Saccharomyces cerevisiae S288C: one gene and its partners. Changing the gene in region 2 together with the main gene of any one other region gives a genetic interaction. Each region holds a gene or a part of one and is shown on either strand. Other genes may lie near its edges.

Region 1 (5,866 bases), on a different chromosome or scaffold from region 2:
AGTACACCAATAACTCTTCCTATAAGGGAAAAAAGAGAAACTATTCTCAGGAACAAAAAGGAATATCTTTGATAAAAAATCTGGTGGTGTCAGAGTTGACTGGCGTCTACGTTTTGGCTACAACGCTAATGGTTAGGTCCCATCTCCCTTTTGAAGTATCACAAAGATTAAAGGAGCTATTGGGTGGAAAGTTTACCGTCCCAAACATTGTCATAGATTCTTGGTTTGATGAAGTCTACGCTTTTGCATGTGTGTTTACCTTTATTTGCATAAGAATTGCAGAACGAAAGCTTTCCACCAAAAAAGTCAGTGTTGAATAACTGGAGTAGTATGTCGATGTTCGATGTTTATGAGATATGTATTTATAAAATTAAATGTCTGTCGGGTAGTTTATGTAGGGATGAGAAAAGTAGTATAGGTTCATGAAGAAGTACAACTTTTTTTCATTTATGCAAGGGCGTAAAAATTATGGATGGTTACTACTAATGATCAAAGTAACATTAATGCAATAATCAACCAAGAAGAAGCAGAGGGGCATGAACATGTTATGAATACAAAAATTCACGTAAAATTTGATCGTCACTTAAATTTTCCTTGACAATCATATAAACACCTATTAATAGGTTTGGAAAACGCTTGGTGAAGTAATCGTAAAATCCATCGGGTACCGGCCCCATTAGTTCTGCTATATCTTCAGGTAAATCCATAAAATGATGATATTTATTCCTAAGTGCTCTTAATAGATCCATTAACTTTGATGAATGGTATTTTCTGTACCTTTCAAGGTTGTCCATGAATGTTTTATCAAACTTGACAGTCCAATCTCCACTGGGTATTACAAAGTCAGAACCGGCGTCAAATTTCATTAACAGGGCACTTGGAGGGTCTCTGTTTTCAATTTCAAGCCTATCACTAACTTTTAAAAGGAACTCCAATTTTTTCGACTTTGGCCAAAACAACGGATGCCTTAGAACTTTCATAGCAGTAGGTCTTTTTAACGGATCGTGATCAATCATTTGGGAGATCAGATCTGTAGCTTCTGCAATTAAGGATCTATCATGTAGACATTTCATTTCATCAAGACTGAATATTCCTCTTATGATATTGCTTTCACGTGAATATTTATCTCCAAATGGATGCTTCCCTTTGGATAGGATATAATAGAATACACATCCCATAGAAAAAATATCAATAGATCTTGTTAGCCTCCTCTTGGTGAACGGATCATAAAAAGAATCAGATGAAACTACTGTATGCCTACTAGAAGAGTGTTCCGTTTCGACTTGGCACTGCAAATTGTTTGATTCTTCAAGCAGCTCTGGGGCCCTCCAACCACTTGTGCCAGAAGGGTTATTCAAATTTGTTCTAAATGAAGACTGACCAGAGTCTAGTTTTTTGCAAAGACCAAAGTCTGATATCAAAATTCGAAGATTTTCTGCTCCTGTTTGCTGATCGGCAGTAAACCTACTCGAAGTAGAAACGAGAATATTTTGAGGCTTTAAATCTCGATGGATAATCTTTAAAGAATGTAAATGTGCTACCCCGGACGCTATTTGTCTCAATAACGAAATTGGATTATACTCTTTCTGTAATTTCAGGTTTTCATCTGATACATTCTTAGACTCCACCAAATCTTGAAGGTTCAAATTGCAGAGCTCTAAAGCAATATACAAAAATCTGTCTGTTGTTTCTGAACAGTAGTATCGTATGACGTTAGGGTGATCATCGCTTTCAGTCAAAAGTTTTATTTCCATTAAAGCTATGTCACAAAAATCAATTAACATTCTCTTTACCGCAACAGGTCTTCCTTGAAAACTTCCCTGAAAAACTACTGTTCCTGATGAACCGTAACCTAAAATTTTTTCGGATACTACCAAATTTTTTAAAGATTGCTCAAAGTTTGGTATATTTGCAATGCGTGATTTTCGGCCCTTTTTGCCTCCTCTCGAACCTCTTTTCCTCTTCTTCTTTTCTGTGGTTAAATCTAGTGATTTTTCATCATCTTCATCAGCATCATCGTTATCTTTTTCAGATTTTAGACTTCCATCGTTCACAGCACCTTCAAAAACAACTTGCTTCCCTGATTTCATATCGAATGGCTTGGTTACATTTTCCGATGAAGAGGGACAATTTAGCGATTTCGACTCAACTATGGGGATTTCCTTTTCAGGCATAAATCCAATTTTGGATAATAATACATATAGTGGCGGCAAAATTTTGAATCTTTGTAGTATTGCACAAAAAATGAGAAATAACAACAGAAATACTCCAGTCTCTATAATTCGATATACTAGACTTCCAAACTTCAGTAGCAAAGAATTTTGGTTCTTTTCATCTAATTCTCTCGATATTTGCTCGTGTATCTTTTTTCTATATGCCTCAAGGTCTTCTGGTGACATGTATTCCTTTAGTGAATTCATCTCGTTATTCTGATGTAAATCGGTTGTATCAACGGACGAATCAATCATCAGAGGTGGATATTTGTGCGTAGTGTCCAAACTATTCGTTTTTTCATAGTTTTCATAAAGGTGATCATATTCATTATTATATATCTGATGAACACCCATGATTGCGTTCTTGAATAAAGTCTCATCTTCAAAAATTGAAGACACCCTCCAACGGTCACTGGAAGCGTATCTTGATATGGGAGCTGATTCGACTAAAGATGGAAAATTCTGACTAGATAATGCAAACCAGGAGAGGTTCGAAGTCTGATCCAAGTAAACTTTGTTACTCGATATACTTTCATGATCACCAGGATTAAAGGGATGCGGTACCAGTATATTTTCATTGGTGCGGAGATCATTAAACACATCGAAAAGCCCAACAATAATTCCGGGGAATGTCGGAGAAACCCATCTAGCAATTCTAAAATCTAAATCGCTTGCTAGCAATGATTTATCACGGAAAGGCGCTATGCACATGCCGTCCTTTGAAAATGTATTCTGAAGCGCTAGGGGAACATCTAAAACATTTTGCTGCCATGTAGAGTAAGTGACATTGTAGCTTGCTCCATCATAAGAGTGAATTCCCAGCTCAAAAATAGTTTTGCCTATTACAATCATATTTTCACATTCCTGAAGTTTTATCTTCTCCTCAGGTGAGCAATCCACACTCTGGCTCCCGAAATACCCGTTTTTTGAACCAGGTCCGAACGCTGATATAATTTCACCATTCAACATGTTTATAGTATACATTATAGTTCTCATCGATCCAGTGTAGACCTTTTCATCTTCAACAATTTTTCCAGAGTCATTAACCACAATATTTGTTTTCAAGTGCAGCGGGGAAGTTGATACAAGTTGTCGTATGGATAAAGGCAGTTTTTGTAACCCTTGATGGGCGTTAAAGTAGTAAATGTTCCCATCACCGAAAGGTTCTATAATCAACGTTTCATATGTTTCTAACCTCGAAGGTTCTTGTATTTCTATCAGAGGTTGAAAATTTTCTGGTTCGATTGACCATATGATATGACCATTTCTTCTATCTACAGCATGAAGTCCACCCTCAACGTCGGCTGCGATTAGTATATCTGATAAACTCAGTTCGTTCAAGGAACGATTCTCCAAATAGGGTACACTTATAGAATTGGCAGCCCTACGTCCTTTTTTGTTAGCACGTCGATTATCAGCAGTATTCAATAAGTTAGGAGTTGGATATGAGCTGAGTTTCATATTTGGTAAACCTTCAGTGGTTCTTGGAGCAGGAATGGGCGAGTTTATATTTTTATCCACACCATAGTTGAAATTGAGCTTTTTAGTGGAGGCAACTTCATCTTCCACTATCTGCCGCCTTGAGGTGCGAGACGACAATGGGATTGAGCATGAAATGATGGATGAAAACACACAAACGAGCAGTGTCAATACTAACATGTTTCTTCGAAGTAGACGCATTTTTCAAAGTGCTAAAATATTAATTCCTCAGATATGCTGTTTTTTTAATGTGTATGAAGGGTGATATGGAGAAAAGTGATAATGGACGTGGGGAAGAGGAAAACGATGCTTTGTGAATGAGAAAAAAAAGTTACTTAGCAGATTACCGATTATTAACAGTGCCAGTTATAGTGTAGATTTAATTGTGTAAAATTAATATTGTTATAGACTTTTCACTGTTAGTTTATGTGAAGTTGGCTCATTGATCTCCTATGATATGTTTTTCGTTTATTTCTTGTTACTATGTGATTAATCTCTTTTTTTAAATTTTATTGTTGGAATAGTCGAAGGTATTGCCCGAAGAGGCTTACGCTCCGTCTTGATTTTCGGCAATAAAATAGCGAAAACCTATTATATAACAGAGGGTAATAAAACCTCAAAACTACAACTATCAATATATTTCACACTACGCAGCTTAATTAGTAACTGTATAATAGCATTTAAGTTCATTACTTCTTTGTAATTTTATCTTTTTTTTTTTTTATATAGTTTTCAGCGCGCAGCAGAGTTTCATTGGAACGCTTCGCACGTTGGAAGAATAGAACTGTCCCTAAAAGCCCATTAGTCCTTCATTGAATAACCGATCTCTTCAAAAACATCCTTAATTTTGCATTGCTTTTCATCAGCAATTATTTGGGCCAACCTTAAACCGGCATCTCTCAATTCGTTGTACTCCTTTAACTCTTTAATGTACGTCGAGGAAATTTTTTTTGGTGTCTCATCACTTTGACAAGTTCTGTTAATAACAGAAACTAAATATTTTTTGTTTGTTATACCGATTTTTGCCGACTGGAAAAAATAGCTACATACTTTTTCTTTTCTTTAGACAATTGCTCAAACATCTTTATCAGGTTGCCATTCATACTTTCGTATTCCTGTATCTGTTTTTGCTTTTTATTTAACTGTGTTTCCAAATAGTTCATACTTGCAAGTTGTCTTCTGTTTATGGCAAGGATAAGACCATTGCTTTTAATTTAAAATTATTCTTATACTCTGTCTTTGCATTTATGAAGCAGAAATAGAATAGCCGCCATTAGGCAGAACAATTCCGTCTGATGTGATAATGCAAAGTGTGCCTGTCATCTAACTTAAAAGGAATCAGGCCAACCGCTACAGGATATGTACTAGATACAATTACTAAATAATACAAACAGAATATATAAAATGCTATTAAGATAGATCATTTGCGTCCCTCTCAATGTTGTCCAACATAGTTTTCATATGATTTAGTTGCATTTCTGTTATTTTGATACTTTCTGATAATTGCTGCAATTTGTGTTCGTCATCGTTTCTCAACATAGCACGACCTCGAGGTGATATTGCACTCCCTCTGTTACTGATCCAATCCCAAATATCGCTTTCCCTTCCTACAATAGGACTCTTATCCCTTGCGTAATTTACATTTTCTCTCTTCTTCTTAGATGATATGGCGTTTTCATATGAGTTATACAGTGTGCCGAAACTGGGCACGTAATTATATTCTTGACCATCAATCAGCAGCCTTCCTGGCTTGATGATTTGAAGATTATTTTTTTCTTGAAACACGTGAAGCCGAGGAGACCAGAAAAGCATAATGGTCAACCCCAAGATCAAGAATAGTTTTTGAGGACTCAGCAATTTGTTCATAAAAATTTCTGAACTAAAATTATTCTGAACGAAATCCAAAATATGAGTTAAAATGTCTTTATTATCATCGCTCTTACGGCTTTCGGAACTTTTCTGTTCAACCTTACTATGGAAAGGCCTATGTTTATCATGACTCTTCATTACTTTCTTCACCGGTTTTTTGCTTTTTGCCCTGCTAATAATGTCTCTTAACTCGGATAGCATGTAATCGACAGAAACCTTCTGACCCTCAACAGATCCTTTCTCAATTGCACCTTTCAAAAATGATTTACTTGTCCAGTTGATTTTTGTTATAACGGTCATATTCG
Region 2 (2,930 bases):
GTGAGGCCACGCAAGACTCGATTTTACGAGCGGAGTACGGGTTTCTGAAGAGATTGTTGCCATACATTGACATGGACGCACAATATATCAGAGTTGTTGATTTGGAAACCAATGCTGACAAGGCCCAGAATTTAAAAGCAGAAAAACTTATTGTTATATTTGACGAATTCTCAGATTTGAAACTCATAGAAACCTTCTTCCCCTTGGCGAATTCCAATTCAAACATAATCGAGTTCGTATTCTGTGTTCGCAATATAAAGAGTTCGTTTTATTCACCTTTGGAAAAATTACATATTGCGAACATAGTCGCAGATATTGATATTAACACATTGTATCTGGACTTCGTGGATTCAAATATCTATTCGGATCAAAATTTCTTTGGGATTTTTGATCCCGATATTTTTCAGCTGATTAATAAAAACTATAGAAACTTCTTTTCTAAGACTAACGAAAAGGGGAAGAAAAGACCCCCCATTTGCAAGAAAATCTGTTTTCCCTTTGTTGAAACATTGAATTTGGATTATATGGCCCTTGATTCATTCTTTAATTCGATACTGCATAAACTAACAACAAAGATAAAAACATTTGAAAGGAACAATGAGTTTGACGTGGATAAAAATTTAAATTTAAACTCGACAACGACAGTAGCAGCTTTAATTATCAAGTCGATCTTGCAACAATTCTTCAACAATTTTCATATCAGCTTCCCTAATTTGGTTACCTTGAATTTTATTAAGATGTCTACCTACCCAAACAATAATGAGATTACCCAATGTTGTAACTTCATAGATTTATCTTCATATGTTCTAAACAAATGTTTAAGTGAGAATATCTCGATAAATTTCCTCTTTCAGTTGCACTCTTTGAAAAATTGGTCAATGCCCAAGATTAAAGAATTCACTGGGCACAAATTCAAGTATGACGAAACAACATTTTCAGGTTCACCAGAAAGGTACATCAAATCATTGAGGGGAAACATTAAAATTTTGCAAGAAATGGCAATTAACGAAACCAACGATGGTACTTGCTATTTCAGAGTCAAGTTGATACCTGAGGGGGTAGAAAAAACTCAAATAATCAACTGGATCCCCTTTACTTCTTCATTTAGCGATGATACCTTCAAACAAAGACACCATTTAAAGAGGCCAATGATTTGCTTGAAGAACAACTCTTTAAGATCGCTCACTGTCAAAATCATACGTATTGAAAAATGTTCATCCATCCGAATCCAGGGATTTTACCTACCAAATCTGCAGGAACTGTTCATCAACAATACCCTTTGCGACACCACCCAACACCAAAAACAAGCGTCAAATGATATGAGTTGTATAGAGTTCACTTCATGGAATGAACTACCACAATGCAAGAAATTGGGATTTGCTCAATTAGAGGACGACTCTAACTACGTTCTTAATATCAGTAACCTACAAGACCATTTACCAAATCTGGACCTGCGGGAGAGTTTCCCAACTTTCTTCGATATAAGACAGAAGTTTGTCGTGGTTTGAGGTCTAATTTTCAACCAAACGTGTTGTACTAGCATATATAATTAAATAAATTTCTCTAGTTATCACTTGATTTATCTAATAAGAGACGTCATAAACGAATTTTTTTTTAGCAATAAATCCTCAACGCTTTTTGTTTTCATTTTTCGGTCTTTTTCTACCATAGAAGATAAACAAGTAGAGCCCATGTAATATAATATATCTACAACCTATTATTACCCAAAACCAACAAAAACCCTGACAGTGACACCCCGTTACACACTCACAATTAAGTAGGGATGATAAAGTCAACACTAATCTACAGAGAAGATGGGCTGCCTCTTTGTACGTCTGTGGACAACGAAAATGATCCCTCATTATTTGAACAAAAGCAAAAGGTGAAAATCGTCGTTTCCAGATTGACACCACAGTCTGCCACGGAGGCTACTTTGGAAAGTGGCTCCTTTGAGATCCATTATTTGAAGAAATCCATGGTGTACTACTTCGTCATTTGCGAATCTGGATACCCAAGAAACTTAGCATTCTCATACCTTAACGATATAGCGCAAGAATTTGAACACTCATTTGCTAATGAGTACCCCAAGCCTACCGTAAGACCATACCAGTTTGTAAACTTTGATAACTTTCTACAGATGACAAAAAAGTCATACAGTGATAAGAAAGTTCAGGACAATTTGGACCAACTAAACCAAGAGCTTGTAGGTGTCAAGCAAATCATGTCCAAGAACATCGAAGACCTACTTTACAGGGGAGATTCTCTCGATAAAATGAGTGACATGAGTTCTTCTTTGAAAGAAACATCCAAAAGGTACAGAAAGTCCGCGCAAAAGATCAACTTCGATCTCTTGATCAGTCAATATGCTCCTATTGTCATTGTCGCTTTCTTTTTCGTCTTTCTCTTCTGGTGGATCTTCCTCAAATAGACGTCACCCCATCATCCCACATCACAAATCCCGATCAATTTGGTCCAAGTGTATAACATAGTCTAGTTCAGTATTAGTATAGTATGGCAATTTATTTGACATAATTACGTATTTTTCAGGCAAGCTGGCAGGTGACCCGCCGCACCTGCACTTTTTAGGGAGTCTTTTCAAGGATATCATCACTATATATCGAAGGAAAAGAGGCTTTCCAACTCTTTTGGATGATCGAATTGCCATCACTACTCTATTAACTGTCTGTGTATTAACTAAATAATCACATAGTATTAAGTTATAATTCCTGGAAAAAAAAAGAAAGCGAAACGACAAAATTAGCATATACCATGTCTCAACTGCCAACAGATTTTGCTTCATTGATCAAGAGATTCCAATTTGTTAGTGTCCTCGATTCCAACCCTCAAACCAAAGTTATGTCCTTATTGGGAACCATTGACAACAAGGATGCTATTATCACGGCTGAAAAGACGCACTTTCTATTTGACGA
Region 3 (4,066 bases), on a different chromosome or scaffold from region 2:
GCCAAATTGGCAAGCACTCACTCCGGGCCAGATTTACACCATGTTTGTAGCGCATTTAAATCAGGAAATGCATTATATTTCACTCTCTCGTCTAGCGAGTCTTAATGTTCATGACGGGGGAGCTTTATGCCTTGTTTTTTATCACAGCGCCAGACAATTGACAGTAACAAATAAAGGCAAAAAACCCTTGAATAGCACCAGAGGTGTTTACTGATTGCTTTTAAAGTACGTATAAAACTGTAAAATATAGATTAAATTCGACCGCCATTACTTTAGAGTTGAAATTGGGAAGCCGTATATTGCCATTTCAGCCATGCTTCTATGGTTCCTAATGGAAGCATGAATGACATACGCAATTTGATGAGCTTGAAAAGGGCGTAATTGACAAGCCAGATTTGAATCTAATCCCTTGAGAAATTATCTGCAAGTAGTAAAAAAATCTCTAAAAGATGTATAATTGAGTCGCCTAGAGACCTCATTCATCATGATATTTGACACCTTAATTTTGATAGTAGCGGGTCAGTCATTAAGAAGAAAGTGAGCTGGGGCTAATCATCAACGATCTCCCATAATTACGTACGTCAAAGACAACACGTTGGCAAAGGTAAGAAGAACGTAGTGCGTATCATGCTTACGGTGAATTTCACCCTTTTTTTCTGTTATTCGTGCTGATCCACGGGGTATTCAATTGAAGATATTATCTTTATCATCATATCGGTAAGCGTCTGGGAGAAGCAACTGGTCAAACGTTTTCAAAAACCATTCTTTAAACAACAAACCGATCAATGTTCTTGATCAGCTTATCAATCTATCCGATCTCCTGCGTTCAGCGTGACCGCCACACTTATGTCTAGATAATTTAACTTCCAGTTGCTAATTTCCCGCTAAAGTATCTTATGTTTACCATCACTGTAGCCGCCCTATCATATGCAACACTTCCATACTCATTTTCGGAATAAGAAGCAACTATCATCTAACGACTAGTATTTATATTACTGGTATATTACCATATTGGGTATAAGACGGTCAAATAAATATTGAGAAACAGTCACCAATTTTAATGGAAATTGAAATGAAAGGGTTGATAATGTGCTAGGAAAATGAACGAGAACATACAAAATGAAAGAAGAAATAATAATATTCCTACACAGAAATATCGGTTCTCTATTGTGGATTTTCATATTCTCGAGGAGAACCTCTAGTACATTTTGTGTATCTGGTATCACAGCGCTTGACAACTATAGAATTTAAACAATTATCTCATTCTTCATCCATCACTCAATCATATATATTAACCCCGGAAAAGTGCATTTTTGGTTTCTAATAACATTTGTATTAGTAATATTTGTTTACCCAACAATTCAAGAAATTTAGCTCGCGTGGCGTAATGGCAACGCGTCTGACTTCTAATCAGAAGATTATGGGTTCGACCCCCATCGTGAGTGCTTTGTTTCTTCTTTTTTGAATATGCTAATTCTAAATTTATAGGAAGAGTTGGATTTTCCTTTAGTTAGTTGTACTCTTGAAGTCCATTTTCTTTTTATACGTACATTAGATCGATCTCGCGATCATGGCTTCAATGTCTAAAAATATAGCGTAGTAACATACTGAAAAGAGAAGCACAGAAAAAATAATCATAGAAGTGTTAGGACATTTGAGGGAACATATTTCAACAATAAACATAATCATTGAGTAAAATGGAGCTGATACTAAACAGCCTCATTTCTGATGATTTAACAGAGGAACAAAAACGGTTAAGTCTTGATTTCCTACAGGATATCCTACAATCTAACACGAAAGACTATGAAAGTTATTTTTCATCTAGGGCTGTTCCTGGTAGCATAACTGAAGACATAGCAGAAATTGATGCTGAATTATCTGCCCTTGATAGAAAGATAAGGAAAACACTACTAGATAATACGTCTCAGATTATCGGAAATATTCTTGAAAACGATGATAGGGCTCAATTGGATGATATAGCCAAGTCTTTGGAGCAATTATGGGAATTGGATACTAATATTAATAAGGCAGCCGATCGAAACGTTACAAATGACGATATAAACAATGAAAGCGTTTCTATTGATGACTTTTTGGAAGACGATAAAGAAGACAACGACACAGGTCGCATCATGACGACTGAGAGTAACAATCTGGCAAGAAAGAAGAAGGAGGATGAGTTTCACAAGGCATTAAGTAGGTTAAGAAACAGAATTTCAACTAAAGAAGATGACAAGGACGACATTAGATCTGACACATTAGTCACTGTACTAGAAAATTTGGATAGCATTACGGATTTGATGGAACTACCATTTTTGGCCCGCACATGTATCAGAACAGGTCATTACCAGGAGGCCGTCATGCTATACACACACACTACTTCCCTGAGGTCAAGATTCCCTGGTTCAACCATTGTGGATGAAGTTTGCGAAAAAGTTTTAAACGAAATTAGTACTACCATGTTATCCGGGCTGGTAAAATTACTGTCTACTAATGTATCAGTAAACTCACTAAAGAAAATACTACAGTACTTGAATTCAATTCCACCATTTGATGGAAAGACTAATAAATCATTATTAAGTGTGTTTTTAGCCATGAGATACAAATTCATTACCGATGAAATAGCATCATATCCTTTGGACGTTGAGTCTTCTAATGAATCTTTAATTGAAATGATGGTTAAGAGGAAAATTGAAGTCCTCAGGGAACATGTCTACATGTCCTTGAATGTCTTTCTGAAAAGCTTCTTGTATGATACAAATGACTTAGAGATTCCTTTCCCAGAGGAACTAGAAAGTACTGTGCTAAGGATAAATGGGACTAACGAAGAGAAAGAAATTGAAGAAAAGGAGAAAGAAACAAAGAAGGAAGAATATCAAAAACAAGATAGCGTAGCGAACAATGAAGAAGATGTGACAGAAAATAAATCGATAGAAGATGTACAAGAGGAAGTACAAGGCAAAGTGGAAGGCGAAGATGATGGAGCAGAAAGGAAAACAGAAAATGAGATAGAAAATGAAACAGTAAACAAAACAGAAGACAAGGCTGAAAAAGAAAAAGAGGAAGAAGTAAATACCAAAGATAACAAGGCAGAAAAAGAGGAAGAAGAAATTAATAAGGTTGAGGTGACCCCAGAAGAGCCAAGCAAAAGCATAGATAACAAGGCAGAAAAAGAAGAAGAAGAAATTAATAAGGTTGAAGTGACCCCAGAGGAGCCAAGCAAAAAGATTCGGACTTCAAAAAGGGAAAACAAAATACCTACAAATGCAGTCATGTTGCAATTCGTTGATAAGTGCATAACATACGTATTAAAAGACCTCACTCGTGGGTTAAATAGCATCAAGCTGAGTGACTCCGTTTGCCTGCAGTTGGTGTACTGTTCATTCCGTCTTTGCGACCTGAATCGAAACTACCACCACCTCTTCCTAAAAAAAATCAATGACACTAGCTTGTTTACGACCGAGCAGCTCGCCCGGGCAATTGACAAGAGAGCAGAACTGGCCTCTAAATATATATACTCCTAGTATAATATTGGCTCACTATGTATTTTCAAAATGACGATCGTCCGAAATTTCCATTTTTTTATTTTTTTTTTTCACTTCTTCGCCAGCGCGAGAAGGGGGAGAAACAACAATACGAGAATGTATGTATACCTTTACAACACACTGCTGCAGTCAGAAAGGGAAAAAGGGATAATTGTACCTTACATCCTTTAGAATTGCACTTACCTTTTCCAATTGCGATACATTTCACTTTGATAGACAACTTTGCTTTTTAGCGTTACTTAATTTAATCAGTTTTCTTCTTAACAATATAAAGAGCATCATTAGCTAGCTTTGTTTATTGACATACGCAATATTGCTAGAAAGAAAATAAGTAGAGCTACGCATTGAAAGTCAAGAAAAATGACTGGCATCAAAGCTCAAGTCCATCCCCCACCTGATAGTACCCTATTTCATGAGGAGGAGAAGAAGAAAGTAGGAGGCAATTTACCTCAAAAGGTCATAAATCAACAAGAAAGGGGTTCTGATCACGCTCCATCGGGTCACCATCAATACCACCAACTGAT

The links.
Region 1: mutations in SEC22 (region 2) and IRE1 together harm fitness more than expected from each alone (negative genetic interaction), as found in Saccharomyces cerevisiae (5 studies listed by BioGRID, with this or other methods).
Region 3: mutations in SEC22 (region 2) and COG8 together harm fitness more than expected from each alone (negative genetic interaction), as found in Saccharomyces cerevisiae (5 studies listed by BioGRID).

What each region holds. Positions count from the first base shown.
Region 1 is NC_001140.6:257,699-263,564, forward strand, and holds IRE1 (bifunctional endoribonuclease/protein kinase IRE1), read right to left. Parts: upstream 3,894-5,866; coding exon 546-3,893; downstream 1-545. Other genes in the region: YHR078W (uncharacterized protein), read left to right, coding at 1-320; SAE3 (Sae3p), read right to left, coding at 4,494-4,656, 4,743-4,855; LAM4 (Lam4p), read right to left, coding at 5,103-5,866. UniProt on the Saccharomyces cerevisiae protein: Senses unfolded proteins in the lumen of the endoplasmic reticulum via its N-terminal domain which leads to enzyme auto-activation.
Region 2 is NC_001144.5:678,417-681,346, forward strand, and holds SEC22 (SNAP receptor SEC22), read left to right. Parts: upstream 1-1,783; coding exon 1,784-2,428; downstream 2,429-2,930. Other genes in the region: BOP2 (Bop2p), read left to right, coding at 1-1,508; DCS1 (5'-(N(7)-methyl 5'-triphosphoguanosine)-(mRNA) diphosphatase), read left to right, coding at 2,770-2,930. UniProt on the Saccharomyces cerevisiae protein: Nonessential SNARE involved in targeting and fusion of ER-derived transport vesicles with the Golgi complex as well as Golgi-derived retrograde transport vesicles with the ER.
Region 3 is NC_001145.3:129,204-133,269, reverse strand, and holds COG8 (Golgi transport complex subunit COG8), read left to right. Parts: upstream 1-1,697; coding exon 1,698-3,521; downstream 3,522-4,066. Other genes in the region: TCB3 (Tcb3p), read left to right, coding at 3,903-4,066. UniProt on the Saccharomyces cerevisiae protein: Acts as a component of the peripheral membrane COG complex that is involved in intra-Golgi protein trafficking.